Linked DNA regions of Callithrix jacchus. The protein of the gene in region 1 interacts with the protein of each later gene in a biochemical or structural test. Links are inferred from orthologs where the notes say so. Each region holds a gene or a part of one and is shown in the gene's direction. Other genes may lie near its edges.

The links.
Region 2: the proteins of GIPC1 (region 1) and LRP2 form a complex in vitro, tested with the Homo sapiens proteins (2 studies listed by BioGRID). The link is inferred for Callithrix jacchus from reciprocal best matches to the Homo sapiens genes GIPC1 and LRP2.
Region 3: the proteins of GIPC1 (region 1) and RGS19 form a complex in vitro, tested with the Homo sapiens proteins (2 studies listed by BioGRID). The link is inferred for Callithrix jacchus from reciprocal best matches to the Homo sapiens genes GIPC1 and RGS19.

Annotation. Positions count from the first base shown.
Region 1 is NC_133523.1:13,273,737-13,284,580, reverse strand, and holds the start of GIPC1 (PDZ domain-containing protein GIPC1), read left to right. Parts: upstream 1-4,616; 5' UTR 4,617-4,749; intron 4,750-5,031; exon of another isoform or gene 5,032-5,191; intron 5,192-7,167; 5' UTR 7,168-7,222; intron 7,223-9,037; exon of another isoform or gene 9,038-9,126; intron 9,127-10,844. UniProt on the Homo sapiens protein: May be involved in G protein-linked signaling.
Region 2 is NC_133507.1:60,280,185-60,290,231, forward strand, and holds part of LRP2 (low-density lipoprotein receptor-related protein 2), read left to right. Parts: intron 1-1,708; coding exon 1,709-1,897; intron 1,898-4,084; coding exon 4,085-5,005; intron 5,006-5,147; coding exon 5,148-5,313; intron 5,314-5,682; coding exon 5,683-5,841; intron 5,842-7,285; coding exon 7,286-7,575; intron 7,576-8,594; coding exon 8,595-8,798; intron 8,799-9,539; coding exon 9,540-9,569; intron 9,570-9,669; coding exon 9,670-9,912; intron 9,913-9,989; exon of another isoform or gene 9,990-10,047. UniProt on the Homo sapiens protein: Multiligand endocytic receptor. Acts together with CUBN to mediate endocytosis of high-density lipoproteins. Mediates receptor-mediated uptake of polybasic drugs such as aprotinin, aminoglycosides and polymyxin B.
Region 3 is NC_133506.1:59,545,986-59,556,826, reverse strand, and holds RGS19 (regulator of G-protein signaling 19), read left to right. Parts: upstream 1-3,650; 5' UTR 3,651-3,738; exon of another isoform or gene 3,739-4,219; 5' UTR 4,220-4,298; intron 4,299-4,588; 5' UTR 4,589-6,829; coding exon 6,830-6,859; intron 6,860-7,057; coding exon 7,058-7,179; intron 7,180-8,679; coding exon 8,680-8,754; intron 8,755-8,835; coding exon 8,836-9,070; intron 9,071-9,166; coding exon 9,167-9,358; 3' UTR 9,359-9,998; downstream 9,999-10,841. Other genes in the region: protein LKAAEAR1, read left to right, coding at 1-66, 147-206. UniProt on the Homo sapiens protein: Inhibits signal transduction by increasing the GTPase activity of G protein alpha subunits thereby driving them into their inactive GDP-bound form. Binds to G-alpha subfamily 1 members, with the order G(i)a3 > G(i)a1 > G(o)a >> G(z)a/G(i)a2.

The DNA of each region.
Region 1 (10,844 bases):
AGGCAATTCTCCTGCCTCAGCCTCCTGAGTAGCTGGGATTACAGGCACGTGCCACCATGCCCAGCTAATTTTTTGTATTTTTAGTAGAGACGGGGTTTCACCATGTTGGCCAGGATGGTCTCGATCTCTTGACCTCGTGATCCACCCACCTCAGCCTCCCAAAGTGCTGGGATTACAGGCGTGAACCACTGCGCCCGGCCCCAAACTCCATAATTTTTAAGTAAGACACCTTCCCTCTTTGTCAGAGGGGCAGCAGTGACAATTGCAGGAGAATACTTGAAAATGTCCCCCACTCCGTGGCAACTGTGAGTTCCCTTGAGGTCACCACTCACATCCTAATAATCTGCATCACCAGTGGCCAGAGTGACGCTTGCCCCAAATCTGACCCTCTGAGTGTTCGCTAAGTGAATAATTAAGTGACAAAGTGATTCAGACAAGAGGACCTGCAACATTTTTTCCTATGATAATTCATGTCAGGGTATGTGCAGAGGAAGGATAACCCAGCCCTGGGGTCAGCTGGTGGTTCCCTCTGCCCCACCCACACCTGCCAGGGACCCCACCCCTGTGCCCTAATTTCTTCAACTCTCCCACCAGGGAGAAGCAGATATTCACTCTGGCTCCAGGAGAGCCCCTCTTTCCTGAAAGACCTTTTGTCTTTTTCTTTTTTCTCTTTCACTCTTTTTTTTTTTTGAGATTTAGTCTCACTATCACCCAGGCTGGAGTGCCATGACATGATCTTGGCTTACTGCAACCTCTGCCTCCTGGGTTCAAGCGATTCTTCCACCTCAGCCTCCTGAGTAGCTGGGATTACAGGCACCCACCATCATGCCCAACTAATTTTTGTATTTTCATAGAGTCAGGGTTTCCGCATGTTGACCAGGCTGGTCTTGAACTCCACCCACCTCAGCCTCCCAGTGTGCTAGGATTTCAGGCGTGAGCCATTGCACCCGGCATTAACAAGTGGGGGCGGCTCTCTCCTGCCTCCTGGTGGTTTCAGCCATCCTGAGCCTTCCTTGGGGTCATATCTGCATTGCTCCAGTCTCTGCCACGGCCCTCCCCGCTGTGTGCGTCTGTGTCTCCTTTTCTGTCTCTTGTAAGGACACCCGTCATTGGATTTCGGGGCCAACCACCCTAATCCAGGATGATCTCATCTCAAGATCCTCCACTGAATGACATCTTTGAAGACACTTACTCCAAGTAAGGTCACATTCACAGGTTCTGGAATGTGGGCATTCCTTTTAGGGTGGGGGCATCTTTCAACTCATTAAACTGACAGAGGCACTTTCCATAGGCCTGCAGCGTGGAGGGGAAGAGGGCTGGCAGGCCCCGGACCCACAAGCCAAGGCACAGAGCTTGTTAGGATGCAGGGAGGGGCTCCTGGACAATGAGCCAGGGATGAGGCCCCTAGGCTGGGGATCTGGGAACCAACACACACACACACACACACACACACACACACACACACACACACACAAGCCTGATGTGGCTGAAACTGAGAGAGCAGGAGAGAGCAGGACCGGGTGTGTTTAGGAATGAGACACACCAGGCCCTGCATTCCTGAGTTGGAAGAGAAATTGAGAGTTTAAGTCAGGAGGGGCAAGGCCCGATTTTCTTTCACATGGAAGTCAGAGCCAGGAACTGGGTAGTTTGCCTTCGTGGGATCCCAACGCTCCCCAGGAATATTATGCTGGACATCAGTGTGGCCAGGTGTGACTCCTAAAAAAAAAACACACTTTGGCTCACAGGGACAGGTTTTTTTGGGGACACATGGCCTCGGGGGGTGCGGTCCTTGGTCGAGAAGGAAGGTGACTTGATTCGGGTGCTCACGGACGCCCTCTGGCCGCTGTGCAGAGAACTGACTGTAGGGCTGACAGTGAGGGTGGAGCGGGAGGACCAGGGTGGAAGCCGCTGCACCGGGTGGGAGGTGATGGGGCTGGCTGGACTAGGAGAGGTGTGAGCAGGGTACGCCACCATACTAAGCTAATTTTTGTATTTTTAGTAGAGATGGGGTTTCACCATTAGCCAGGATGGTCTCAATCTCCCGATCTTAGGATCTGCCTGCCTAAGCCTCCCAAAGTGCTGGGATTACAGGCATGAGCCACCTCGCCCAACTGGATTTTTTTTTTTTTTTTTTTGAGACTAAGTCTTGCTCTGTCGCCCAGGCTGGAGTGCAGGAGCACAAAATCAGCTCACTGCAACCCCCGCCTCCTGGGTTCAAGTGATTCTCCTACCTCAGCCTCCTGAGTAGCTGGGATTACAGGTGTTCACCACCACACCCATTTAATTTTTGCATTTGTAGTAGAGACAGGGTTTCACCATGTTGGCCAGGATAGTCTCAATCTCCTGACCTTGTGATCCACCTGCCTTGGCCTCCCAAAGTGCTGGGATTACAGGCTTGAGCCACTGCACCTGGCCCGACACTGTCTCAAAAAATAAAAATAAAAATAAATCAGAAAGGAGATGCCCAGTGCCGCTTTGTGTCTTGAGCAATCACATAATCCCATCACCCCTTCTCTGGGCATTTCCTCATCACACAACAGGAGCCAGGTGGATCCTGGCTCAGGACTTTGCAGCCTCAGTCATGCTGTCCCCTGGGCTCTCCAAGAGTGCAGGGGGCAGCTCAGATGCCAGGCTCAGGCAGGGCAGGCAGCACAGTCCCACAGAAGGCACTGGCCAGCCCAGGCACCTATTGCTCAGTGGGATGGCAGAGGTCAGCAGAACAGGAAGAGAGGGACAATAGCTGTGCCTGTTGCCTGGCCTGCCACAGCCTTCTCAGTGTTTGCCAGCTGGGTGGGGCTGACTAAGCAATCCTCAGCAGTGAAGCTCAAGGTTTCATCTTCTCTCTCTCTCTCTCTCTCTCTCTCTCTCTCTCTCTCTCTCTCTCTCTCTCTCCTCTCTCTCTCTCTCTCTCTCTCTCTTTCTCTTTCTTTTCATGACAGAATCTTGCTCTGTCGCCCAGGCTGGAGAACAGTGGCGCGATCTCAGCTCACTGCAACCTCCGCCTCCCTGGTTCAAGCCATTCTCCTGCCTCAGCCTGGCGAGTAGTTGGGACTACAGGCACGTGCCACCACGCCCGGATAAGTTTTTGTATTTTTAGTACAGACAGGATTTCACCGTGTTAGGATGGTCTTGATCTCCTGACCTCATGATCTGCCCGCCTCAGCCTCCCAAATTGCTGGGATTACAGGCGTGAGCCACCATGCCGGGTCTCCATCTCCCCTTTCACTTTACCCCTCTGCAGGTCCTGGTGGGGCTGAGTTGCACACAGTCACACCCTGGAAACTGCAAAGAACCAGTCATCCGATGAAGCTTGAGCAGGGTCTCAGCGCTTAGAGGCTTCCAAGAACTACAGTTCCCAGAACACGCAGCATTCAGTTGCTGTCCAAGTGGCTGGGTTTGAACTAGAACAAGGAAATCTCGCCTGTCCTGGGAACTGAGCGTCCTGGCCTGTTCCAGGTGCGTTTGTGACTCATGTTTCTTGGATCTGTGCCCTCCTGAGAAATCCCCGTTCCTTATAAACTACCTGGTGCATTTGTCCACACAGGTTTGCTGAGAACCTGTTATGTGGCAGCTTGAGATGGGAGTGAGGGGTTGACGAGAGAGACTCAGTCAGCCTCCATCCTCACAGTCAGATGGAGACAGATCCATCAAAGGTCGGAGGCTGGCTGGGTACCCTCTGTGATCTAGCACGTAGTAAGTGACCAACAAATCAACAAGCAAATAAAAACTATCTCACTCTTGTCTTTCATTCCATCTTGCCTTTCCACACTGATTTACCAGCTCCCACGATGTTGCACTATCCTAAAGCGTGCTGTAGCTCTCTGGCTTTTGCACACTCTGTTATCTCTACTGGAAGCATATTCGGCTTACTGGCTCACGCGTTTGTCTGTAGGACAGAGCCTGGCACGGAGCAGAGGGCACATTAAATATTTGATGAGTGAGTGAATGAATGAATGAATGAATGCCTTTCTCCATTGTACACTCCAGGAAGCAGGGACGCTCGGGACCCTCCGTATTTATCTCTGCCCCCCGCCCGCCCCTAGAGTATGAATGCACTTTTTATCAGCTCCGAGGATGGCCAGGCTGGGGCAGAGGCCGGGCGGGGAACTGGGTTAGGAGCTGCCATCGACCCCCCACCCAGGCCTCCTAAACGGTCCACTTTCCCGGACGTCGGGAGTTCGCATCCTGTCCCCGAAACTTGGCCTCGGTCACCTGACTCCCCCGCCCCTCACCACCCAGGGCACCCTAGACGGACATTCAGCCAACAGCACGTGGTTCAGGGGCCCCAGCTTCCTTCCCATTGGCCGCTCGCCTCCTTCCTTCCCCGCGATTGGCCGGGACCCAGCCGCAGCTCCGCCCCCCCTCCTCAGCCCTCTGGTGGTACAGCCCGCCGCGGCTCAGGCGGGGCGGAAAGGTCCACTGCTTTGCGGCGCAGGGGGAGCCGGGAAGAGCCGGGTGAGGCGGAGGGATCCCTCTGGAATGTTTCCGTCGGGTCCACCCGAAGCGGGAGGCGCGGATTGGCCGCGAGCTCCGGAAGACAGCCGCTAATTGGTCTTCCGCGGGCGTCGGCCCCGCCCCCCTAGGCGCCACTGCGGGAGAGGCCCAGGCAGGAGTTTGCGGAGGGCCGAGCCGGGTGCGCGCGGGGAGGCGGTGGCGGCGGCGCAGGTGAGTGGCCCCGGCGGGAGGGATGTGTCCACTCTGGGGGCCCCGGATGTCGCGGGCCCGCGAGGATCCGGCGGATCGTGCAAGGTGGGGCGGGCCCCGGGGACGCGACTGGAGGTCTAGGCTGAGCGCGGGGATGCCGGAGGCCCCTTCCTGGGGGGAGCGAGGGTGGGGGTGGTGGGGGCAGCTCCCTTCCTGCTGGAGGGCAGAGGGCAAACGCCTCCCAGCACCAGGTAGGGGTCTCCGGGCTTGCCCCTCCCCCCTCCCCCTTCTAGACGGCCCCCATCCCGGGGGGGACAGGCGTGGGGTCGATGTTTCTGACCCTTTCCTGTCCATTTTCCCTGAGCGAACCGCGTCTGAACCCTCCAGGGCCTGGGGCACGCAGTGAGGACCAGGGCCTGGATAATTATCATCATGAAAAACTCCACCCCAGCTAGCATTTATGGAGCGCTTCCGTGTCAGGCATTTACCATGCGGATCATTGAATCAAAACACTTCATGGGAGGTGTTGTGCCTTCTTGTAAAAAAGGTGAGGCAGCAGGCTCAGAGAGGTGGAGTGACTTGCTCAAGGTCACACAGCTAGTAACTGGCACATCTGGGGCTGGAACTCATGCCCCCAGGGTCCAGAACTGGAGTCTCAGCCACTAGACTTGATACCCACTGGCTCCATAGTTCAGTTGTTGCTGAGCAGCTCCAGCCCCTACCCCTCCCACCCCTACCTCATACTCATCATCAGGGCCACACTTGTTGGTCTTTTGTTTCCTTCCCCCCCACCCCCACAACCCCCAAAGATCACCAGATACCAGCCACTCAAACAGGAAGCTGCCCTCATGTCCCTTCTACCCTGAGCTGGAGAGGGCAGGTTTGACTACCTGGGTCCAGAGAAGAGTGACATCTGCAGGGGCCCAGGATGCTGGGGTCCTGGGCCTGCTGGGTCCCCCCTGGCAACCTGGGCCAAGGCTGAGCAGTAGGCGTTCTCCAGGGAAACACCCAGGAGCCGGTTTTTCAAGAGTGAATCAGAGGCCTCTCTCCCTCCTCTCCAAGGCAACACGGTGTGGGAAGGGGGAGCCTGGGCGTGATTTCCCCCTTCCCCTAGCTTCTGTGTGCTCCCAGGAACCCCTTTCCCTCCTCCTGCCGACCACACTGTGTTTCTGGATGGCTGTGGGGTTGCGAAGTTTCAGGCCCTTCCCAGGATGAGGGGGCCGGGATGCCGAAATTCCAGCCCAAACAGTTAATATCCAGGTCGAAGTTTCTCTTCTTCATCTCTGCGTTCAGGTGTGAGGGGAGCCAGGGAAAGTGGGGAGTTAGTAACCCCACAGTAGGCATGTTTGGGGGGCTGTTTTGAGGATGGAGGTTTGCAGAGAGCAGTCAGAATGAGGACCTGAGACACATTCATTCATTCTACAAATATTTCAAGTGAGCACCTACTATGGGCACGTGCTAGGCACTGTTCTTGGCACAGAAAATAACATAAATGAACAAAAATTCCTGCTCTTGAGGAGTTGGCACTCTGAAAGGAAGCAGCCAACAGCAAGTTATCAAGTAAATAAAGAAGATAATTTCAGATGACACTAAGTGCTATGAATAAATGTGTGGGTAGTACTATAGAGGGTTGTGGGCAGGGGGTGCCAGTGCCAGGAAGATCAGATAAGGGGGTTGGGCAAGGTGGCTCACACCTGTAATCCCAGCACTTTAGGAGGCCGAGGCAGGTGGATCACTTGAGGTCAGGAGTTTGAGACAAGCCTGGCCAATATGGGGAAGCCCTGCCTCTACTAAAAATTAGCCAGGCGTGGTGGTGCATGCCTGTAATCCCACCTATTTGGGACACTGAGGCAGGAGAATCACTTGAACCTGGAAAGTGGAGGTGTCGGTGAGAGGAGATCGTGGCACTGCACTCCAACGTGAGCAACAGAGCAAGACTCCATCTCAAAAAAAAAAACAAAACAAACAAACAAAAAAAAACAGGTCGGGCAAGGCCAAGGTCTTTCTTTAGGCTGGACCAAGCTTGGAATCTAGTTGGAGCAGATGAACCCAGAGCAGGGATTCTGCAGGGGTTTGTGGGTCACAGTAAGGAGTTTGCAATTTTTCTTCCAGAAGGTGGGAAACCGTTGTAAAGTTTCAGTCAGGGCAATGATGCCATCTCATTTATGTTTTAAAATAGAGACATGAAGTTAAATGACAGCCTGAGGCTGGAAGACAAGAGTTCTGCCAGGGCAGCATGCAATTAAGTTCCTGGGCCTGAGCTGTCTGTACCACAGGGGAGGTTCCAACATGCTGGGGCAAGCCTGGGAGGCTGCCTGGAGGAGTGAGCCTGGAGTAGGTCTTGGCAGGCAGAGAGGGCGGGGATATTCCTGGGCAGGGCAGGGCAGAGAAGGCGATACCAGTAATAATGACAACAGCTTCCTTACATGGAGTCTGAGGCAGAGTATAGATGGGATACGTGGGCAATCTCTTTGGATTTCCATAACCACCTTGAGAGTGACAGGAATTCTACCCATTTTTCAGATGAAGAAACTGAGGCCCTGTGAAGTGAAGTGACCTGCCCACAGCCACACAGCTGGTAAGTGGCAAGGGTGGGATTTGAACCCAGGCCATGAAGCCTCTTATGGCTGTGGCAGGCAGATTCATTAATCACTCACTTTCCTCCCTGCTGTTAATCCTCACTCACGGGTGGGGACACAGAAGCCAGCATGAACCAGGGCAGTGGGTGTGGACAGAGAGAGAGTAGGGAGGTTGGGAATCTTGGTCAGGATGTAGGGATCTTGGAAGTTTGGATCTTGGTACAGATGGCAGTAGTAATAATTGTCACCAATATTTACAAAAAGCTTATTGTGTACCAGGACTATTGCAAGCACATGTGTGATTTCCTTGGAGCTCAGAGAGGTTAAGACCCTTACCCAAAGCCACACAGCTAGTAAGAGATGAGGCCAGGTTCCAGACAGGTTTTTAGCTTCCTGCCTCCCAGTGCACAGAGCTGGTGGAGTTGGGGGGGTAATGACGGATGACAAAGGCTTTTTTCTTTTTCTTTTTTTGAGACAGGGTCTTGCTCTGTCACCTAGGCTGGAGCACAGTGGCATGATCTTGGCTCACTGCAACCTCCACCTCCCAGGTTCAAGCAATTCTCTCCTGCCTCAGCCTCCCCAGTAGCTTGGATTTCAGGCATGCAGCACCATCCCTGGCTATTTTCGTTTGTTTTTTTAGTAGAGACCAACCTGACCAACATGGAGAAACCTCGTCACTACTAAAAATACAAGAAATTAGCTGAGCATGGTGGCACATACCTGTAATCCCAGTTACTCGCGAGGCTGAGGCAGGAGAATCACTTGAACCTGGGAGGCAGAGGTTGTAGTGAGCCGAGATCGCACCACTGCACTCTGGCCTGGGCAACAAGAGCAAGACTCCGTCTCAAAAAAAAAAAGAGAAAAAGAAACCACACAGACAATGAAAGGTGAGGGAGATGCTATTCCTGCCTTCCTGGCTAGCTGAAGCACCTACTATGTGCCTAGCACCAACCTGGGAAGCAAGAGATGTGGGGGCCACAGAATGGGACTTGTGCTTTTGCTGCAGAGATGAGAGCCTTTGTCTTCCTGGGGCCAGGCACCCAGACTGCTGGGTGTGTGGATATTGGGATCATTCAGTCATCCATTCATTCATTCAACAAATATTATTGGCCGGATGTAGTGGCTCATGCTTATAATCCCAGCACTTTGGAAGGCCAAGGCAGGAGGACCACTTGAGCCCAGGAGTTTGAGACCAGCCTGGGTAACACAGCAAGACCCCATCTCTCCAAAAAAAAAAAAAAAAAATTAAGGCAAGGTGCCATGGCTCATGACTGTGATACCAGCACTTTGGGAGGCCGAGGCAGGTGGATCACCTGAAGTCAGGAGTTCGAGATCAGCTTGACTAACATGGTGAAACCCCATCTCTACTAAAAATACAAAAATTAGCTAGGCGTGGTGGCATGTGCCTATAATCCCAGCTACTAGGGAGGCTGAGGTAGGAGAATTGCTTGAACCCAGGAGGCAGAGGTTGCAGTGAGCTGAGATCACACCACTGCACTCCAGCCTGGGTGACAGAGCGAGACTCTGTCTCAAAAATAAAAATAAAAATTGGCCATGTAAGGTGGTGTGCTCCTGTAGTGCCAGCTATGGAGGAGGCTGAGGCACGAGGATCACTTGAGCCCAGGAGGTGGAGGCTGCAGTGAACTATGATTACACCACCACACTGCAGCCTGCACAACAGATGACACCCCTGACTAGGAAAACAAACCGAGGCTGGTTGTGGTGGCTGGCTGACACCATTTTCCTTCCAGTGAGGCCAGAGCCCGAGGAGGGGTCATAACAGAGACAAATGTGACGTGACTTCTGTTTTACAGGACCATTCTGGCTGCTGTCTGGACACGAAGTCGTGGGGGGTGAGGGTGGAAGCTGGGAAACCCACCAGGAGGCAAGAGCAGTAGTTTAGGTGAGTGATCATGGAGATGGACCAGGTAGGAATGCATTCGTGAACAAATGGGTACATAAGATTGGGTGCGGGCCGGGCAGGGAGGTTCACACCTGTGAGCCCAGCACTTTGGGAGGCTGAGGCAGGCGGATCACGAGGTCAGGAGTTCGAGACTAGCCTGACCAATATGGTGAAACCCCATCTCCCGAGTAGTTGGGATTACAGGTGCCCACCACCACGCCTGGCTAATTTTTGTATTTTTAGTAGAGACAGGGTTTCGCCATGTTGGTCAAGCTAGTCTCAAACTCCTGACCTCAGGTGATCCACCTACCTCGGCCTCCCAAAGTGCTGGCATTACAGGTGTGAGCCGCCACACCCAGCTGCAGCTCAGGTCAGGGCCTTTCTACTGGCTGTTCTCTCTACTTGGAATGTTCTTGCCCCAAATCATTGCATGGTGCTTCCTCCTGTCATTCAGGTCTCAAGTTCAGCATCACTTGTTCAGAGAGGCACTTCCTGATCTTGTCTATAGAACTTGTCTTGCTTTGTCTCCATATCAACATTAAAAATTATATGAGGCTGGGCACAGTAGCTCATGCCTGTAATCCCAGAACTTTGGGAGGCTGAGGCTGGAGAATTGCTTGAGCTCAGGAGTTTGAGACCAGCCTGGACACCACAGCAAGACCCTGTCTCTAAAAAATAAAAAAATGAGCAGGGCATGGTGGCAAGCCCCTTTGGTCCCAGCTACTCAGGAGGCTGAGGTGGGAGGATCACCTGAGCTCACCACCTAAGGCCTAACTGCACCACTGCACTCCAGCCTGGGCAATAAAGCAAGACTGTCAAAGAAAAAGAAGAAAACAAAAGAAAGAAAAAAAATAGTATTAAACATTTACACCTTTCCCTGCTCACTGTGCATTTCCTCTTCCAGAGATTGTGGACAGAGCCCCAGCTAGCCTATGTATATAGCATCTGTGAGTGAATTAGAAAGACATCTCTTCAGCCAGGCGTGGTGGCTCACACCTGTAATCCCAGCACTTGGAGAGGCCAAGGCAGGTGGATCTCAAGGTCAGGAGTTTGAGACCAGCCTGGCCAATATAGTGAAACCCTGTCTCTACTAAAAACACAAAAAGTTAGCTGGGCATGGTGATATGCACCTGTAGTCCCAAGCTACCTGGGAGGCTGAGAGAGGAGAATCTCTGGAACCTGGGAGGCAAGGTTGCAGTGAGCCAAGATGGTGCTACTGCACTCCAGTCTGGATGACAGAGCAAGACACCGTCTCAAAAAAAAAAAAAAGTCATCTCTTCCTCCTGGTAGACACCACACCAAGAAGCATAGCTTTGCAGGCAGAGCACAGGCTGAGTTCAGTCCCACTTGCTGCCTTGGTCTAATACTTTTGCACAGTGTACAACTCGTGTAACTGCACGTGGTGACCCTAGTCAGGGATCTTTTTTTTTTTTATTGAAGGCAATATCTAAAATGGTGCACAGAATCTAGTAAGTACTAAAAAAAGTGTTTGAAGGGAGGGGAGAATGCAGAAAGAGAGAAATAAAGAAACAGGGGCCCAGCACGATAGCTCACACCTATAATCCCAGCACTTCAGGAGGCCGAGGTGGGTGGATTGCTTGGGGTCAGGAGTTCAAGACCATCCTGGGCAACCTGGCAAAACCCCATCTCTACTAAAAACACAAAAATTATCCAAGCATGGTGGTGTGCTCCTGTAGTCACAGCTACTCGGGAGGCTG
Region 2 (10,047 bases), on another chromosome or scaffold:
TTTGCCCAGCTTTTCATTAAAAAAATTTCAAACACAGAAATATTGAAAGATATAGCAAATATCCTCAGACTCCTTACCAAGATTTAACAGTTGTTAACATTTCATCACATTGGAGCTCTCAATCTGTGTGTGTGTGTGTGTGTGTGTGTACATGCAAATATATTCACATTCATTGTTTATGAACCTTTTGAAAATAAATTTTAATACCATGCCACTTTACCCCTATACATGCTAGCACACAGTTTCAAAGGGCATTTTTTTTACTGAGATGGAGTGTCACTCTTGTTACACAGGCTGGAGTGCAATGGCGCGATCTTGGCTCACCGCAACCTCCGCCTCCTGGGTTCAGGCAATTCTCCTGCCTCAGCCTCCTGAGTAGCTGGGATTACAGGCACGTGCCACTGTGCCCAGCTAATTTTTTTTTGTATTTTTAGTAGAGACGGGGTTTCACCATGTTGACCAGGATGGTCTCGATCTCTTGACCTCGTGATTCACCCGCCTCGGCCTCCCAAAGTGCTGGGATTACAGGCGTGAGCCACCGCGCCTGGCCTCAAAGGGCATTATTAAATATTCATAATCATATTTCTCCAGCTGGCCTCACAACATTTTACATATAGCTCTTTGTTCCATCCAAGATCTAATCAAGATTCATGCATTGCACTGGGAATATCTCATTTGTTTCTTCTAATTTGGAGTACTTGCCTCCAGTTTTTTGCCATGACATTGATGTTTTGAGAGGCAGACCTGTTGTCTTTGAGAATCCCACACTGAGGATTTGTCTAAATATTTAGCTTGTCTTTCATTTTCATCCTGCAGTTCTTGTGAAATGGAAGTTAGGTCTAATTGCTTGATTAGATCAAGGTTAAATACTTTTAGCAAGAATATAGGTTATGCTGTGTACTTGTTACAAAATCTTATTAGGAAGAACATAGTGTCAGTTTGTCCTGTTCTTAGTGATGCTTGAGTTTGATTACTTGGTTAAGGTGGTCCCTGCTATATCACTGCTTTTCAAAAGTTTATTTTTTTCCTTCTTAATTGGTGTGAAATCTATGCAGTCTCTCTTACGCCCTGTGAACATCTTGCCTCCCAAGCACCTTTTACTCATCGGTTTTGGCAGCCATTGATGATCCTTGTCTGAAATAATTATTTAATTGAGGATTGCAAAATGGTGATTTTCTTATTGTAGCATTTCCTTTACATTCGTTAGGTAATAGTCTTCTATAAACGAAAGCTCTTTGTTTCTCCCCAGTTTATTTAAAAAAAGGTATTATCACTGTGGGTCAAATTTTTATCTTTTCAAATTCAGTATGTTATAATCAATTACTGTAATTCTTCTTTTGATGTCCTAGTTGATCCATTTTGGCCAGGCAGAGCCTCTTCAAGTGACCACTTCTGTGGCGTACTTCTGTGTACACCTTGTTTCTTGGTACAATAAGATGTTTCATGTTCACCTCATACCTTCCCTGGCTAACCCTATAGTCAGTATTTCTCCTGGGATCCACAGCTCCATGTTGTGGGCAAGAGTATTTAGAAATCAAGATGTGGGCTGTAGGTCTGCCCACTGCAACTGGGAAAAAAGGATTTCATTTCCTAATGGGGAGATGCTCAGAGCAGTGGTGGGAATGGGGGTTTGAGAGGAAGGGCAGACATTTAAAAGTTCTAGTTTCAGTGGCGGCATTGTTTAATGATCTTTTCTCAACTGTTCCAGGACGAAATGCCCTGCATGTGGATGTTGATATGTCCTCTGGTTTTATTTATTGGTGTGATTTTAGTAGCTCAGTGATATCTGATAATGCAATCCGTAGAATTAAACCAGATGGATCTTCTTTGATGAACATTGTCACACAGGGAATAGGGGAAAATGGAGTCCGGGGTATTGCAGTGGATTGGGTAGCAGGTATGTAAGCTGTATGGTGATTTTAATCTGTTTACATCTCTGTCGTCTTCTTTTGTGCTAGAAAAAGTTTAGTCTAACTACATGTGCTACAGATTTGTTTCTAGACAAGTATTAAGATCATTTAAGATATGTTGAATCTAGGTTAAGCTATGTATCTATTTTTTTTTTTTTGAGACGGAGTTTTGCCCTTGTTACCCAGGTTGGAGCGCAATGGCGTGATCTCGGCTCACCGTTATCTCTACCTCCTGGGTTCAGGCAATTCTCCTGCCTCAGCCTCCTGAGTAGCTGGGATTACAGGCACGCGCCACCATGCCCAGCTAATTTTTTGTGTTTTTAGTAGAGACGGGGTTTCACCATGTTGACCGGGCTGGTCTTGATCTCTTGACCTCGTGATCGACCCGCCTCGGCCTCCCAAAGTGCTGGGATTACAGATTACAGGCGTGAGCCACCACACCCGGCTGCTGTGTATCTATTTGATAAATGATATGGTGTTTCAGTTTACAGATTCATAACAAATTCTTATCATTTTCTTCTATTAACATAATCTGAAGACAAAAATGTCTAAAATATTAAATTATGTGTATTTTTTTCACTTTGATTTGTACCTAGTTTCTGCATTAGAAATTTTCTAAATTTTCAAGAGAAAGGGATAAAATATATAAACTATGGAACAGGATTCATTTTCTTTAAAGTTGAGAATTTTAGTTGCCAAATTCTTAATTACTTCCTTTTGTTCATATATAAAAATTATTTAATTATGAGATATTTTATTACCAATTTTATTTAACTGCCTATTCCAGTATTGCATTCACTTAGTTGTATTGATTCATGCACGTAAGCTTAAATTACCACTCATTTTTGTCACTCATTTAAGTAAAAATACACCTCAAAATTAGTGCTGTTATATATTTTGGAATACAGTCCAACTCTACATAAAATCAGTAACATTGGATCAAGCTTGGTAGGTATCACTTAGAAATATTAGCATGTGTTATGAAAATCTAAGTACTATAATAAGAGTTTATTGCAAAAAGTAAATATGGTAATATGGTTAAATAAAGCTTTAATTGGGTTTCTAACTCTCATTCCTGATTACAAATTACTATTTCTGAGGGTGTAGATAAAGCAGTAGTCAGCAAGCTTGCTTGCGAGTCAAATGCAGCCTGTTGCCTGTTTTTGTAAATAAAATTGTATTGGAACATAGCTATGCCCATTTATTTATGTATTGTCTATGGCTGCTTTCATGTTACAGTGGCAACATTAAGTACTTGTAAAAGAAACCATATGCTCCTCAAAGCCTAAAGTATTTATTATCTGGCCCTTTTTCAGAAAAAGTTTGCCAATTCTGGATTAAAGGTTTGGAAGTGAGCAAATACATACATAGCAGGTAGAGTTAGGTAATGAAAAAATCTATCAGTAACACATTTTGCATTGGCCTGATTTCTCTAGAGGTGATTTGAAGCAGATATAGGAAGAAAATATGTGTGTCTTGGTAGTAGTAGTGATAGTCCAGCAACAGGCTTTCAACTACATGGAATCAGTAATTTGGGATCAGTCTCTAAATACTATCTTCAGAAAGTTATCTTTTTATTCTAGCATTACATTGTGCTATAAGACCCAAAGCGAAATGGACTTTTGTTTTGGTGGCTTTTAGAAGGCCCATGGATGAAAACACCAACATTAGTTAGAAGGACTAAGAAAAAACTTCATGTTACCCCTAAGCACAAAGAACATTTGATAACATCAATAACAACCTGAGATGCTGCTGGTGCCCCCTCTTTGCTACTTTTATCACATTGGGGTAGAAGTTATGCTATGACAATGTATATTTAGAGTCTTTCAAGTAGGTTTTAAGCATTCAGTGATTCAGGTAGAAAAGGAAGGACATTCTGGAAAATATATCTTTCAGTAGAAAGTGTGTTATGATGTTGCTATGAATTCTAATCTACTTTAGGAGCTGAAGATAGGTACATTCTCTCTAAATCTGAAGACTCAATTTCTGTAATTCCTAGGAGTAAGTATTTATTTTTCTAAGCCTAGACTGAGACACTTATTTATTATCTTGGAAAAGACAACATGTAGTGATGCAAACCTCAACCTTATATATTTTGTTCTGAATTTGTAAAGTTTTCCCTTTTTTTCTTTTTCCTTCTCCATTGATCAGCATGCACTTTCATTTTCCTATAGGAAATATTTATTTCACCAATGCCTTTGTGTCTGAAACACTGATAGAAGTTCTGCGGATCAATACTACTTACCGCCGTGTTCTTCTTAAAGCCACAGTGGACATGCCTAGGCATATCGTTGTAGATCCCAAGAACAGATACCTCTTCTGGGCTGACTATGGGCAGAGACCAAAGATTGAGCGTTCTTCCCTTGACTGTACCAATCGAACTGTGCTTGTGTCAGAGGGCATTGTCACACCACGGGGCTTAGCAGTGGACCGCAGCGATGGCTACGTTTATTGGGTTGATGATTCTTTAGATATAATTGCAAGGATTCATATCAGTGGAGGGAACTCTGAAGTGATTCGTTATGGCAGTCGTTACCCAACTCCTTACGGCGTCACTGTTTTTAGAAATTCTATCATATGGGTAGATAGGAATTTGAAAAAAGTCTTCCAAGCTAGCAAGGAACCAGAGAACACAGACCCACCCACAGTGATAAGGGACAATATCAACTGGCTAAGAGATGTGACTGTCTTTGATAAGGAAGTCCAGCCCCGGTCACCAGCAGAGGTCAACAACAACCCTTGCTTGGAAAATAATGGTGGGTGCTCTCACCTCTGCTTTGCTCTACCTGGATTGAACAACCCAAAATGTGACTGTGCCTTTGGGACCCTGCAAAGTGATGGCAAGAGTTGTGCCATTTCAACAGAAAATTTTCTCATCTTTACTTTGTCTGATTCCTTGAGAAGCTTACATTTGGACCCTGAAAACCATAGCCCACCTTTCCAAACGATAAATGTGGAAAGAACTGTCATGTCTCTAGACTATGACAGTGTAAGTGATAGAATCTACTTCACACAAAACTTAGTCTCTGGACGTGGCCAGATTTCCTATGTCAGCCTGTCTTCAGGAATCCATACTCCAACTGTCATTGCTTCAGGTAAGTGCACTCCAGGTGCTGCTTATCCCAGAAGTAGACACAATGGGGTCAACAGACATGGATGACTGAGTTTTTCTAATGCATATTGAGACTCTAATGCCTTTGTGTGTGCTTGTGTGTGTGTCTGCTGGTATGTGTCCAGGTATAGGGACTGCTGATGGCATTGCCTTTGACTGGATTACTAGAAGAATTTATTACAGTGACTACCTCAACCAGACGATTAATTCCATGGCTGAAGATGGGTCTAACCGCACTGTGATAGCCCGTGTTTCAAAACCAAGAGCAATTGTATTAGATCCCTGCCAAGGGTATGCCATCATCTTCTTTGTTATATTTCTATCTGTTTATTTCTCAAAAGAGTGGGGCCTGAAATAATGTTCATAGACTGAGCTTATAACACGATGGCCACAGATTCGAAGGTGAAAGTACATTGAGTGATTTTACCTGGGAAGGAAGGTGCAGAGTGTAGCTCCCTTTGGTGGCGGAAAGGTTGGCAACATACTAGAAAGTTAACACTCTGACTCAACAGATCCCTTTTGGACAAGTTGTGTAAGTAGAAATGGGGTTTCTTTGGCCATGTTACTGGAAATTTGCAATTAAAGTATGTTGTCCTTTTTTTTTTCAAAGGACTATGAGGTTTCCTGTGAATTAATTGTTGACTTCTTCCATATGACTAGGTACCTATATTGGGCTGACTGGGATATGTATGCCAAAATCGAGAGAGCCACATTGGGAGGAAACTTCCGGCTACCCATTGTGAATAGCAGCCTGGTCATGCCCAGTGGGCTGACTCTGGACTATGAGGAGGACCTTCTCTACTGGGTGGATCCTAGTCTGTAGGTGTCTCTGGTTACTCATGTGGGTGTTAAAAGTTTTTCCTCCCATTTCCAAAGAAGAGGGATTTGCATCATGTGATGAAAATGTAATATGCCAGATAGACATTAACTAAATTTATAGAATCACAGTTTTAGGAACTATATTTATATTGTAACTTGGTGAACATACCTGTGAAAATTTATCTATATCGTGCATTGAATAATTATGAACTAAAAGATATCTAAAGATGCATTACTAAATATATCTATAATATCAGCTATAATTATAAATGTATTTTATCAATTAATAACTACAAATGAAATTACTCAATTTACATTCTGCAGGCCCTAGGTAACTGCCATCAAATCTGAATGACTTTAAATGCCCAGTGATATTAAGTTCTTTTCTGGGCTTTAGCATTCAGTGTCTGTTAGAAAATTCTTTTCTTGGGCTGGGCGTGGTGGCTCACGCCTGTAATTCCAGCAGTTTAGGAGGCCGAGGCAGGTGGATCACTGGTCAACATGGTGAAACCCCATCTCTACTAAAAATACAAAAAAATTAGCTGGGCATGGTGGCACGTGCCTGTAGTCCCAGCTGCTCAGAAGGCTGAGGGAGGAGAATTGCCTGAACCCAGGAGGCAGAGGTTGTGGTGAGCCGAGATCACGCCATTGCACTCCAGCCTGGGTAACAAGAGTGAAACTCCGTCTAAAAAAAAAAAAAAAAAAAAAAAGAAAAGAAAATTCTTTTCTTTACTCTTTCTTCTCTGGCAAGGTTCTCCTCAGCACATTTCTTAATTTTTTCCTTTTGTCCACTCTAATTTATATGTAACTTCTCCAAGTACCCTCCAAATGTTTCATATTCCAGCCATCCTAAAGGAATACTTGAAGGGATGAAATTTTTGCCTATAATGGCTGGTGTCAACAGATAGGGAATCTTAATTTTTCTTGCATATTTCTTTGGAATTTTAGTCTTGTGATGCCAGGTACCTAACATCCTGATCTTTTCTTTATTCTCCTATTTGAAACAAAGCAGTGATGCTTTGGGTCTAAGCTTGGCTTATTCTAGATAAATACCTCGAGGTGCTCAATAAATATCAAATTGAAAATGCCACTAAAAATGTGGGATAGAAAAGTCATTGTTTTATTGTGCTCAACGCTGAGTTCCATGCATTACATGGGTTATTTCACATTTTCCTGTTTCTAATGTCAACCTCGTTCCTTTTATAGGATTACTATTCATATTTGGAAGTCAATGATTTTATATAGGCCATTGTTGCATAAGCAAATCAGACTTCCCATAACCAGAAGAAACATTTCTAGCTGCCACATACGCCACTTGAAAAGGAAGTTGGGGGCTTGTGTAAACAATGATGAGGCCCATGCATTGGGTTGCCAGTTGAAAACTTAACTCATTTGAGATTTCAGCTTTTTTATTTTTTTATTTTTATTTTTTGCTTCATTTTAGGCAAAGGATTGAACGCAGCACTCTGACGGGCATGGATCGTGAAGTTATTGTCAATGCACATGTTCATGCTTTTGGCTTGACTCTCTATGGCCAGCATATTTACTGGACTGACTTATACACACAAAGAATTTACCGAGCTAATAAATATGACGGATCAGGTCAGATTGCAATGACCACAAATTTGCTCTTCCAGCCCCGGGGAATCAACACTGTTGTGAAGAACCAGAAACAACAGTGTAACAACCCTTGTGAACAGTTTAACGGGGGCTGCAGCCATATCTGTGCACCAGGTAAGGCATTGACCATGAAAATTGAAACATGAGAATAAGGATCACAATACCAATTGGTAAGGAAAGCTGAAGCTCTCACCAGGAGAAGAAATATCCAGATTCTCTTTGATTTTAGGATAATTTATAAAACAGACCTGGGGCTATATTTTGAGAGGAAGACTTTGTAGACTTATTTTCTATTCTATATGGAGCCCTTTTTATGAAGGCATTTTGTTTTATTTTTGAGATGGAGTCTTGCTCTGTTGCCCAGGATGGAGTACAGTGGTGCGATCTCAGCTCACTGCAACCTCTGCCTCCTGGGTTCATGCAATTCTCCTTCCTCAGCCTCTCTAGTAGCTGGGACTACAGGTGCATGCCACCATGTCCAGCTAATTTTTGTATTTTTAGTAGAGATGGGATTTCACCATGTTGGCTAGGCTGCTGTCAAACTCTTGACCTCAAGTGATCTGCCCACCTCTGCCTCCCAAAGTGCTGGGATTTCAGGCATGAGCCATGGTGCTCAGTTTATGAAGGCATTTTAAATACAAGCTTGATGGAGTTAGAAAGATGAAGGCCTTGGATGCCTCACTTAATGTCTTGACTAGGAATTCCATTAGTGAGCCTACCTTCCTTATTAAAAGGATTTACATTTTCTGCTAAGAGATATTATTTATAGTTTGAAATATTTCTGGAGATATTTGCAGGTGGGATCTTCCATGCTTTATCATGCGTTTTATAAAGAACGACAAATTCATGGGAAGATATGCCTTTTGATGTTGTTGCTTTGCAAATTATGCTTAGAAAGAGAGTTGTTGATATTTCCTGTTGTGTAGAAGGAATCAGGCCTCTATTAGAAATTGGTGATTGCTCTTCTTGATGGAAAGGTGACTCAGAATATAGTTGAAAGGTTAATGGGCAGAATCTCCATGGCTTGTCTTAGCATTTAATGTAGACACTGTTGCAAGTACTATTGTGGAGGAGGAGACAATGTGAATGGTGGCTGCATCCATCTTTCTTCTTCTGGGACTATCTTCATTCAGGACCAGATGGTGCTGAGTGCCAGTGTCCACATGAGGGCAACTGGTATTTGGCCAACAACAAGAAGCACTGCATTGTGGACAACGGTCAACGATGTGGTGCATCTTCCTTTACCTGCTCCAACGGGCGATGCATCTCAGAAGAGTGGAAGTGTGACACTGAAGACGACTGTGGGGATGGCAGTGATGAGATGGAAAGTGTCTGTGGTGAGTTGGCACTTTTGGTAGGAGCTAATGATATCTTGATGTCAAATGTTTGGTACAGAATCCTGCTGTATGTGAATGGGTTTGAAATGTGTGACTAGGCATCCTGGTAGAGCTGAAAAATGTTTCCTCTGATAATCCAGACGGTTTCTGTTAAATCACCTCTGCAGTGGTTAAGAGCACAAGCACAGTTATTATCCTGGTGATTGCATTTGTAAGCTGTATAGCCCTGGGAAAGTTACTTAATGTCTCAAGCCTCAGACGTCTCATCTGTAGAATGGAGCTACTACTAGGGTTCTTGTGAGGAGTAAAAGAAACAATACGTAAAAAACCCTTAGCATGAGACATGGTACATGCTAAGCATGGCTTAGCTTGGGACTAAGGAAATGTATCATTTTACTAATTTTCATAGCACAAAAGTCACTATTTCAATAATTTTATGAAAATAATTTCCAATCCTCAGCTTCCATCTGAATGGAGTGAGTAAGACACAGTGGACTTTCTCAGGGCGGTCTGAGGTTGGTTACCTTTTCTTAGCAGATTGTGATAGGGGCTAGGAGTTTTTATTTTTCTGAAATAAACTATAATTGCATGCTTTTCTCTGGTTGAGATAAATTGAGAGTATAGAGAAATAGAATGACTTTGATTTGTGCTTTAATTAATTGGTTTGTACATAAAACAATTTGTTTAAGAAAGGTGTACATAATCTGACTAATTTAAAGTGTTATCTCACTTTGCATGCAGTCCGTTTTGCAGCGTTTTTTGCCTTGGAAGGTAAATTCAAAGTGTCCGTTTTGTTTAATTGTATCTTTTAAAAAATTAGGATAATACTTTAATAGAGAGGGTTTGTTCTTATGTTTTTTCCTCTTCTTAGCACTCCACACCTGCTCACTGACAGCCTTCACCTGTACCAATGGGCGTTGTGTCCCATACTCTTACCGTTGTGATTACTACAATGACTGTGGTGACAGCAGTGATGAGGAAGGGTGCCTGTTCAGGGACTGCAATGCCACCACGGAGTTTATGTGCAATAACAGAAGGTGCATACCTCGTGAGTTCGTCTGCAATGGTGTAGACAATTGCCATGATAATAACACTTCAGATGAGAAAAATTGCCGTAAGTTTATCTTAAGTGATTATTGTGCTTTTGGGTCTGAAGTCTTGGATCATGGGAGTTTATATAAAAACAAAGGCATCTGTGGCCATACAACACTGAACGTGCCCGATCTCATCTGATCTCGGAAGCTAAGCA
Region 3 (10,841 bases), on another chromosome or scaffold:
CTCGAACTGTTCCTGCCACCACAGCTGAGGCCCACGCGGATCCCGGATCCCCTGGACCGCCAAGAGGTGCGGGCGAGCCCCAGTAGGGGCAGGGAGGGGGCCCCCGCCTTCCTCTGCACACACCCGGCCCCAGCCTGTCCCCGCAGCGGAGGCGTGTGGAGGCCATCCTGGAGGAGAACGCGGACAGCAGTATCTTCCCGCGGTGACGGCGACCCAGAGCGTGCGACCTGCCCCAACCTTCCACATAAAGTTATCATTCTCCGAAGGCTCTCTGGTCTTTCTGCTCCGGCTCCCCAGGCCCCCTGAGGGGAGCGGGGAGCATGGACGCTCCCTCTCCCACGGACCTCACAGACTTACTTAGTGAAGACATGCAAGTGGCTGGGGTGAAAGTAATGGGTCAGAGACACGCCTACCCCCAATCCCGTCCTGCCCCATAGGCAACCTGGCGCTCTGCAGGTCCATGGGAGGCCCCCAGTCTTGAGGACGATGGAGAAAGAGCCTGTTTCAGCAACAGTCACACCCCCAGAAGGAAGGGCAATCTCAGGATACAGGTCCGAGTGTGGGAGAGGGCGGTGCTGTGGGGAGCGAAGTGACCTAAGCTGGCCTTTGAAGAGGTACCAGCTGTACCAGGGGACCCAGAGACTGAGGAAGGGGAACCCCCTCTGGGAGGCTCCTGCTGCCCTAGAGAAAAAATCTCACCCTCTGGTCTTTTTCCCCATCCTGAATAGCCTCCTGTGACCCCCTTAATGCCCTGCGCCTCCCTCCCAATCTCTCCTCTCTCTCCTCCCCCCTCCCCTCTCCCCCCTCTCCCCCCTCTCCCCCCTCTTCTCTCTCTCTTTCTCTCTCTCTCTCTCTCTCTCTCAGGAAACCACCCATGTCCCATTCTGACAAACAGGCCCACAACCTACAAATCCCTGGACTCTGAAAAGCCCCCAGGTTTCTGGGCAGACCTTACTCTTCTCCCTGACATGGGCTCTTTGCAGAAGCTGGGGCTTCCCTGGGGCCCTCCTCCTTTTCCTCCCTCCCAGCACCCTGTCCAGCAGGCTGCACAGAAGCGGGAACTACAGGAACTCAGACAAACCTCTCCTCCTGCCAGGGGGCTCCAGCTGGCTCTGCCTGGAGCCAAGAGCAGATTTGGAAGGAGAGGCAGAGGTCCAATCTGGGGCCCAGAAGGGATCCTGCTCAATGGCAGCCAGTGACACTCCCCAACCCTGGCCGGAGTGGGGACCTGCTCACTCTGGCCCCTCAGCCTGTCCTTCTCCCTGCGCACCTGGCCCTTTACTCTTTCTGGGCTGTTGCTGCCCTAGGCCTTGACCCAAGCCCAGACTGTATACAGAGCTCAGAAGTCAGCTTACAGGGAGGGGAGACATGTCAGGAGGGGGTTCAGGAAGCGAAGGGGAAAGAGGAAGGAGGCCAGGGAGAAGGGGCTTGTGCAGGGCAAACAGACAGGGAAGGGGAGGCCATCTCTGTCCAGGAGTGGCAACCACTCACACCCTGATGTGCTTGTGGCATATGGTGACACCAGCCCTGGTGTCCTCTGGCCAAACTCCCTGCAGCCTGGACCCCAGGATTCTGTCTTGGGGACTGACTGAGTGCGTAGAATGAGTTCATCTACTAGGAGAATCATATATTATCTCATCACTTCTCTGAGACTCCATTTCTTCATCTTTAAAATCAGGATCTTGGTGCAGTGCCCCACACGCAGTAAGTGCTCCAGAGGGGATGGGTCACTCTGCATCAGATAGGCACTAAGGAAAGAGGGGCAGACACAGACACAGCAACCCCAGCACCTTTCGAAGGCCAACAAGGCAGGGACCTCAGTGACTGCTCCAGGGTCAGACCGGCACACCGGCCCTCTGATCCCCATGAAAGGAGGGGGCTAGGTGTGCAAAGGAGCTAGGGAATAGGGCCCAGGACATTTCTGCAGGGCCTTGGGGGACTCCTGCCTGTAGAAAGCTCTGTGGGAAAGGAAGGCATGTGGGCCAAGGCCCAATATACTGGGGGACCGTGAGGGGGCAGAGGGTCCTGGGTTCAAATCCCACCTGCATCATCAACTGCCCAGCTCACCTGACTCCACCCGTGTACTTCAGGGATGCTCTGTGCAGCAGCCAGGGGAATGGAGAGCAGGCCCAAGGGGCCAAAGGAGATGGGGCAGTGATGGGGGGATTGCAGAGTAACCCAAGGGCACAGGGAGGGCACTGACCTTCATCCACTGCCGGCTGCCCACACCTGCATTTCCCCACAGCGGAGACAACAGGCTGACCGGCTGGGCGGGGTCAGCCTGGTTGTGTGGCCTGGAACAGGTGCTGGCCCATCTTCACTGAGCCTCCCTGACCTCACCTGTGCCCACCTCAGGAGTGTTACCTGGGCTGAATAAGAAGCAGCCTGCCTCTTGTCCCCATGGGCTTCCTGGCCCGTGCCTTGCCTGGCCTGGCTTGGCCTGACAACATGGCATCCACAGGGTTCTGAGGTCAAGTCAGCCCTAGCGCGGGCGGAATGGGCTGCGGGGCTGAGGGCGGGGCGGGGCACAGCTTCCAGAGGCAGCCTGTCCTCCAGGGCACTCTTGCCTCTGGCCTCCCCCTCCAGGCTTCTGCACAACCCAGCAGCCCAGCGCCCTCCCCTCCTCAGTGCTCCTGCCTCTCCCCAGGCCTTTCCTGCCTGCCCCCACAAATCACCTGTGCCCCCAGCAGCAAATCCAGGCTCATCCGTGTTGCTGGCTTCTGGTCCCACAGCCTGGCCCACAGGGACTCGCAGATACTGGTCCTTGTCCATTGAATTAGGTGCACAAGCAAGATCTCCAGCTCCCTTTCCAGGCCTCAGAGTTCTGTGAAGGTGTACACCTGACTTGTGCAATTGGAATGCATTTTATGGGCGGCCCCCGACACTAGAGGTGTCCCGGCCAAGTGCTTGGGGAGGACAGGAGTTGCAAACGGGGCAGGAGGGGCACAGATGTTCTGCAGACGGTTCCAGAGTAGGGTCAGGGCCACCTGACACACAGCATGATGGGACGAGACGCCAAACCCGGTCTGTACCGAGTCATAGAGGAGGCGAAGAGTTGGCCAAAGGGACAGGGCATTCGTGGCAAAGGGGGCAGTGTACGCGGGTCGGCAGGGACTCTGCCAGGCCCCACAGAGACATTCAGTATGACTGCGGATGCAAGAGCCGCGCCCCCAGTTCCCCCCAGCCCAGAAGCCCCCACAGCGCGAAAGGCTCTTAACCCAGTTTCACAGACGAGGCTCAAAGGGGCGAGGGGTGCGCCGGGCTGCGGCGCTCGCGGACCAGTCCTTCACTGCAGCCGCCCGTTTCCCTAGCAGCGCAGGCAGCACGCGGGCCCGGCTCTCGCGCGTCCACGCCAGCGCGTGGCGGGAACCCCACTCGAAAGGCAAGGCGGGGACGGCCCAGCCGAGCGGCGTCGGGGACCACGGCCAAGGCCGGTCGACTACAGAGCAGCTCGGGCCGCCGGGGCCGGGGCTCCCCTCTCAACACCCCGACCCTCCCGCCACCCCCGAGCGACCGTGGGGACCGAGCGCGGGCGGGGCGGGCTGCTGGGCCGAGCGCGGGGCGGGGCGGGGCGAGTGGGGCGGGCCCGGCGCCTCCCGGCGCGAGGAAGTCCCGGCGCGGCTTTGGGGAAGTGCGGCCGACGCGCCTGCGCACTGCCCACGCCCCCCCACCGACGGCCTGGCGGGACCTCGGAGCGCGCGGGCCGGCGGCGGCGCGAGCGGCTCGGGAGCGCGGCTGGTGAGTCCGCGCGCGCGCGCGGCGCGGGGACGGCGGCCCTGCCCGTCCCTGCCCGGGCCCGGGGACCGTGCGGGGCGGGAGCCGTGGGAGCCGGCGCGCGGGCCTCGAACCCCACGGGCTCGCGCCGCCAGGTCCACGTGGACCCTGGGCCGCAGTGGAACTGCAGCCCGGCCCCCGCGCGTGGGGGAGGGGGCGCTAGGGCCGGGTTCCCCTTTTTCTGGAGCTCAAAGCCCGGGGAAGTGATTGCTCAAAGGTGGGGGCCGGAAGAACCCAGGTTTCCGCGTCTTCCTCCCCCCATCAGCCTGGTGAGGAGGGGCCGGGGCGGGACACCCTGTCCGCCCCCGCCCCCACCTCGCCGGATCTGGCCGCCACTCAGCCCTGCGAGCCGCAGGGGAGGTGATGCGACCCCGGCCCCAGCCGATCGGGGTCTCCTGGCGCTAGCCTCCCTCCTGCCGTCTGACTTGAGTCCCTACTGCTGCAGTGCACACCCCTTCGGCAGACAGGGTGCGGCCCACACCCAACCTGGCCCCTCCTGCCCCCACCCTGCCTTTGGGTCGCTGGTGAGTAGGGCGCCTTGAGGTAGGGGTGGGGGCATCAGAGGCTGGAGGAGGACACAGGCTCCCAGACTGGACCCTAAGAGCAGAGAGAGGAGCGCAGTGGGTGGGTCACCATCACTGTTTTAGAGGTGGGCTATGGTTTGCCCAAGCCAGATGGGGAGGGTGGCATATGGGAAAGGCCCTGGGCAGGAGTAGAACTGGGAATGGAGCCCCTCTCAACCCCCCCTCTCAAAGGTTGTGACATTTTTTTCTGGGATTGTCACATTTTCTTATTCTTTTTTTGGACTGGGCAGGCTCTGGGACGTTCTTTTTCCTTCTGTGGAGCAAAGCAGCAGCCACTCCCCAAGGGAGCCTCTATCCCCAGAGACCAGACGTGCCGCCTGTCCCGCCTCTCTCATCCCAGACTTGGGGGCCAAAGCCTGGGGGACTGGGGAAGGGGGATCCCCAATACCAGGATGATGAGCAGGGGAACCCTAGTTGAGACTCTGTATCCCCTAGCAGAGAAGGGGAGTAGCCTGGGGACATAGGTGGTCCCAGTTGACCAGAGAAGAGTACAGGAAGCCAGGTCCAGGGATGGTGACCAGGTCCAGGGATGGGGGCCAGGTCCAGGATGGTGACCAGGTACAGGGATGGTGGCCAGGTCCAGGGATGGATGGTGGCCAGGTCCAGGGATGGATGGTGGCCAGGTCCAGGGATGGATGGTGGCCAGGTCCAGGGATGGTGACCAGGTCTAGGGATGGGGGCCAGGTCCAGGATGGTGACCAGGTACAGGGATGGTGGCCAGGTCCAGGGATGGATGGTGGCCAGGTCCAGGGATGGTGACCAGGTCCAGGGCCTGCAACTGGGAAAGAAGGGGCTGGCCCCCTCCTCTGCAGCAAACGAAGGCCCTGCACCCCGGCCCTGCACCCCTGGACACATCCCCTCCTCTAGTTCAGAGCTGGGGCGGAGATGGTAGCCCAGGAGGGACAGTGTCCAGGGTTGGGGAGGACCCTGGGTGGGGACAGAGAGGAGGAAGAACTGCCGCCTGGGGAAGTCACAGCCCGGTCTGGTACAGCTACCAAACCTCAGGTTGCCACACCCCTTCCTTTCCCTAGAAACTCGACCCCTAAAAGGAAGCCCAGCTGCAGGGCTGCTTTCTGTCTCCTCATGTACTTGCTAGGAGCCCATGGGACCCACAGTTTCAGAGAAAGGTGGGCAGGTGGTAAGGGGCTGAGGTCCCCTGCACCTGCTTCAGACTTGGGCCGGGGCAGTGGGTACCCTGAGTGCAGAACTCCAGCATTGTCTCCTCTGAGCTCCATTTACACCCCTTCCCACAACCAGACAGAAACAAGCACTCAAAGGCCACAGGCTAGGGGAGGCATGTCAAGGAGGGTGACAATTGAGACAATAAAGTCGAACCAAGTTGTGAGCCTCCTGGCCAGGGAGGAGAGCAGCCGATGAGGAGGGTAGCGGGTGTGCACGGAAGCCCAGAGGGCCCTACTCTGGGCAGAGATGGGCTCGGGTGTTCACAACCGCCTCCAGGGCATATTGGCACCCTGTGTTTGGGATTCGAATATGTTTGGGATTCGAAATGGTGTCTCGGGTAGCAGAAGGGCAACTCACAGCCTTGGCGTTCCTGGCGCACCTCCCCTGCAGACGGTGCAGCCAAACACCAGGAAGGACTCACACCACACCACACCCCACCTATCAGCAACTCCGGGGCTTTGACTGGGGAGCAGGGTTCCCCCGCCCACTGCCACCCCCACTTCCCTGGCTGGCATGCCCTGCGGTAGGGCCTTGGTTCCACAGCGGTTTCACAGCCTAGAGGTAGAGTGGGCAGGAACAGAGGGAAGTCTTGGGTGGGAGGCAGCAGGACTAAAGAACCATGTTTGTGGGGGCACGTGCCTCCTCACCAGGGCCCTGCACCCCTTCCCACACCCTCAGGCGGTCCGGCCGTGAGTCCCACTTAAATCCTTAATGCAACAAGGCTAGCCTGCCGCCCCTGGCTGAGACCTCCGGGGCCTATGAACAGACCTGGACTCATGGGGGAGAGCTATTCTGCCTACTCCCCACCCGACACCCTAGAAGCGAGTCTGGCCACCACCCTCATGTATCAGTCGGTAGCCCCAGACTCTCGGGGCCCCTTTGGGAGGGGCTGGGAGTCGGAAGCCAAGAAAGAGGAACCCAGGCTTCCGGCTTCCCAGGGACTGAGCGGATGGGGTGTCCTGGAACCTCTTATAGGGGCCTCATCTGGGGTCCAGCCTGGGAGGAGGGGCCACAAGCTGCCGCAGTCCCCTCCTCCATGACTCTGGGCCCCCTCCCAGCCCTGCTGTAAAGCTTAGAGTAGGGGTAGGAGCGGTCAGCAGAGCCGGGTCCAGAGGTAGGAGCAGGCCCCGCTAGGGAGACACCCTCTCAGGACCCCTCCTAAGGGACAGGCCGGGGCTGGGGTTTCTGGTTCTCAGTCAGAACCTTGGCACCTCTCCCCAGACCCCCAGGCTGTGGTGAGGGTCTGAGAGCTGGCACCACGGAGCCTGGGCAACCTCCTCCGCCCACCCATGCCCACCCCGCATGAGGCTGAGAAGCAGGTATGCCACCTCCCCTCTGCCTCCGCTCCCCTGGGGGAGATGGGGTGGGGCAAGCTGAGGGGCCACAAGGAGTTGGGAGACCCCTGAACACCTGGGAGGCCAGAAGGGTCATGTCCCTGGGAGCAGGGGCCATGCATGGGAGGGTAGGCAAAAGGTGGGTTCTGACCTGGAGGCTGAGGTAGCCCCATCTCACCGCAGAACACAGGGCCAGAGGAGGCAGACCGGCCCCCTTCAATGTCCAATCATGATGCAGCACCTCCAGCGGCCCCCAGCCGCAACCCTTGCTGCCTGTGCTGGTGCTGCTGCTGTAGCTGCTCCTGGTGAGTGGGGCCTGGGGTGCCCAGCTGGGGAGGGGGCCAGGGGTATGGGGCCAAGGAGACCCAAGAGGGGTCCTAGTGGCTTCTGAGGCATCCTCTGCAGGCAGGATGCCTCTGCCACCTTGCAGCCAGCCCTGTCCTGTCCAGGGTCTTTGGGGCCCTAGTGATGAGTGGCAGGTGCCTTGGCCTCTGGGGGGGTCAGGGGGCTCGTGTATGGTTCTTGTACCTGTCTTGCCAGGGGTGCATCCAGCTGCTGTGTACACGCATGCACCCGTTCACATAGCATGTGCTTATCAATACTGCTGTGAGCCAGGCCAGGCTGGGCTCTGGGTGCCTGCAGTGGAGTAAGACGGGCACAGGCCAGGTGTGGTGGCTCACGCCTATAATCCCAACACTTTGGGAAGCTGAGGTGGGCAGGAGTTCAAGACCAGTCTGGCCAACATGGCAAAACCCCATCTCTACTAAAAATACAAAATTAGTCAGGCATGGTGGCAGGCATCTGTAATCCCAGCTACTCGGGAGGCAGGAGAATTGCTTGAACCTGGGAAGCGGAGGTTGTGGTGAGCCGAGATTGTGCTATTTTACTCCTGCCTGGGAAACAAGAGCGAAACTCTGTCTCAAGAAAAGAAAGACAGGCACAGAACCCCCCAGACTGTGTGGGGTGGAGGGACTTTCGAGGAGAGACCCAAAGAGGGAACCACTGGCCCTGGGGTGATGGCCAGGAGCTTCCCAGACAGCGTGCGCAGGGGGAAAAGAGCATGGGCTTAGAGAGGTGGTCTCTGGGCATCCCTGTGGGGGTGGGAGTGGGGCTCTCAAGTGGTAACAGATTTTCTAGGAGGGTAGAGGAGCTGGTGGATGTTTTCCTGCCTTGCCGAAGCCTGGCCCTACTCAGGCTTCAGGCCCTGGCTGAGGGGACAGTGCTTCAGCTGACCCATGAGCAATGGGGTGAGCAGGGGACAGTGAGGAGAGGGGGTGGGAGGAGTCCAGGGGCTTTGTCCAGAGGAGTCAGGACGTCTGGGTACATGACGTCTGCCAGCCATCCAGGTGCCCTGGAAAGAGGTCAGCTGGGTGTGGATTTGGGTCCAGCACTGACAGTGCTAGCAGCCAAGGCAGGAAAGAAGCTTCCCTTGAGAGCCAGGGATCAGGCTCCAGAACCTGACCGGTGTGGACACGCGGGTCTGGGACCCTCACGTGCGTCAGCCGACAAGACACTGCCAGCACGCCAGACCTGCAGTGGGAGGCCCCACTGGAGGGACAGGGATGGGAGTCAAGATCAGGCCTAGGAGCAGGGTCCTGCCCAGTGGGCCAGGGACGGGGAGGAGCACCAGGAGCCAAAGGGTCCCTCCTGGAAGGCCAGAAAGTCCCGGCCACTGGGGCAGAGCCTTTTGCCTGGGCACTGTGGCAGGAGCAGCAACCTGGACAGCATATTCCCTGGGGAACTGGGGAGGGACCAACAGGGAGGCCCCGTGTGCCAGGGCAGTGCTGCTTCCTCCCTGCCTCTAGGAACGAAGAGCGGCGGCGTGCGTGGCAGGCCTCCCGGGAGAACAAGCTGCAGCCCCTCCCTAGCTGTGAAGTGTGGTGAGTCCACCCGGCTGGTGTGTGCGCACTAGGGGGCCCAGGCCAGGAGACTCAGGCCTAACACAGCCCCAATGCTCACAGTGCCACGCCAAGTCCTGAGGAGGTGCAGAGCTGGGCGCAGTCCTTTGACAAGCTGATGCACAGCCCAGCGGGACGCGGCGTGTTCCGGGCGTTCCTGCGGACGGAGTACAGCGAGGAGAACATGCTCTTCTGGCTAGCCTGCGAGGAGCTGAAGGCCGAGGCCAACCAACATATGGTGGACGAGAAGGCGCGGCTCATCTATGAGGACTACGTGTCTATCCTGTCCCCCAGGGAGGTGCGCCGGCCACCGGAACGGGCAGGGCAGCCTGCTCCAGGCACTAGGTGGGGAAAGCACCTCCCAAGCCCCTGACCCCAGTGCCTTGTCCTGCAGGTGAGCCTGGACTCCCGAGTGCGGGAGGGTATCAACAAGAAGATGCAGGAGCCGTCCGCACACACATTCGACGACGCCCAGCTGCAGATATACACGCTTATGCACCGGGACTCCTACCCGCGCTTCCTCAGCTCTCCCACGTACCGTGCCCTGCTGCTGCAGGGACCCTCACAATCCTCCTCCGAGGCCTAGGCTGTCTGGCAGCACAGACCCCGCCGCCTCCCCTGGCAGACTCGGGGTTGCTGTCAGGGCACCTGCCTGCAGGCCCAGCCTGGCCAGCTGCAGTCCGCAGCCCTGGAGGCTGTCCTAGACCCAGTGGGGAGTGCTGTGTCTTCTGGCTCTGACCACCGTCCTGAGCGGGAACTCCAGGTGCAGGGCGGGTCAGAAGCCCCCTCATCGCCCACAGCTGGCTGGCATGGTGCTCCTGGCTGGGGACTCTTGTGTGGTGAGAGCAGGGGTCCCCCCCCCAGGAGGCATACTGGACCCATGAGCCTCGTTGGGGCCCCCTCCCCAGGCAGCTGATAGGCCCCAGACTAACCTTTGGTGGATATAGAACCTCCATGTTGTGTAGTTTTGTGACATAAAGAGACCTCCTACTTGAGCTGTCTGTACCCCAGAACCAAACCCAGAACCTCAGAGCCAGATGTAGAACCTCAGAATCTTGCACTCAAGGTGCCAGGACCCAATTTCTGTTTTATATGTTCATGAAGTTTAAACCTGGAAACATGTCCTTGATATGTGTTTTATCAAAAAAAAAGTTTGTTCATATTTATCTCTATCCCTAAGCCCCCCAAAATACGATGTTATTATTGAAGATATTTTTAAAGCAAAAGTCTCTCCTCATTTTTTTCCCAAGTTTGGGGAGAGACTGGAGAATGAGGGTTGGTCCCACACTCAGGGCTGGGGAGCAGTGTCCTTGTCCCAGGACAGGGGGCTCCAGTGCCCCCCAGAGGGGAGACAGCCTGTGTGCTTGCCCCTCCCACACCCTGGGCTCCACCAGACTCCTCCTCAGAACAGGGGCCCCAGTGGGTAGCTGTGCTTCACCCTGCCCAGGGCATGGGCTCCATGATCTTGGCCTCAGCCTCCTTAGTGGTGAAGTGGGGGTACAACAGCAGGACCCACAGCACCTCAGAGGCAGCAGGAGGGGCTGCCCAGGCCCAGCTGGACAGGGTCCCCAGACGAAGGCTGGCCGGGGCAGGAGGGGTGGCTTCGTGCCTGGCACAGTGTCATCTTCACCATCTCACAGGCCCACCTCTACATTTCTGGGAAGGTAAGTGATTTGAAGCTGACATTGGCTCAGGCCCCTGAGACCGTAACTCCCAGAAGAAGAGAGGCAGCAGCATGGGGACAAGTGTTCTAAAGTGCCAGGAGCAGACGCAGGCCCTGAGCAGCCCATGCCTGAGGCAGCGGGGAGGACACTGCTCCATACAGGACCACAGGCTGTCAGCAAACACACAAGGTGTGCTGCCCTCACACAGAGCCGCCCCGCACAGGACAGGCACACACACAAGGCCCCCTCCCTGCTGCCCTCACACAAAGCTGCCCCACACACGAGGCCCCTCCCCACTGCCCTCACACACACAGCCACCCCCCACAGGACAGGCACACACACGAGGCCCCTCCTCGCTGCCCTCACACACAGCCACCCCAGGTGATCTCCGAAGGTCAGCCAAGC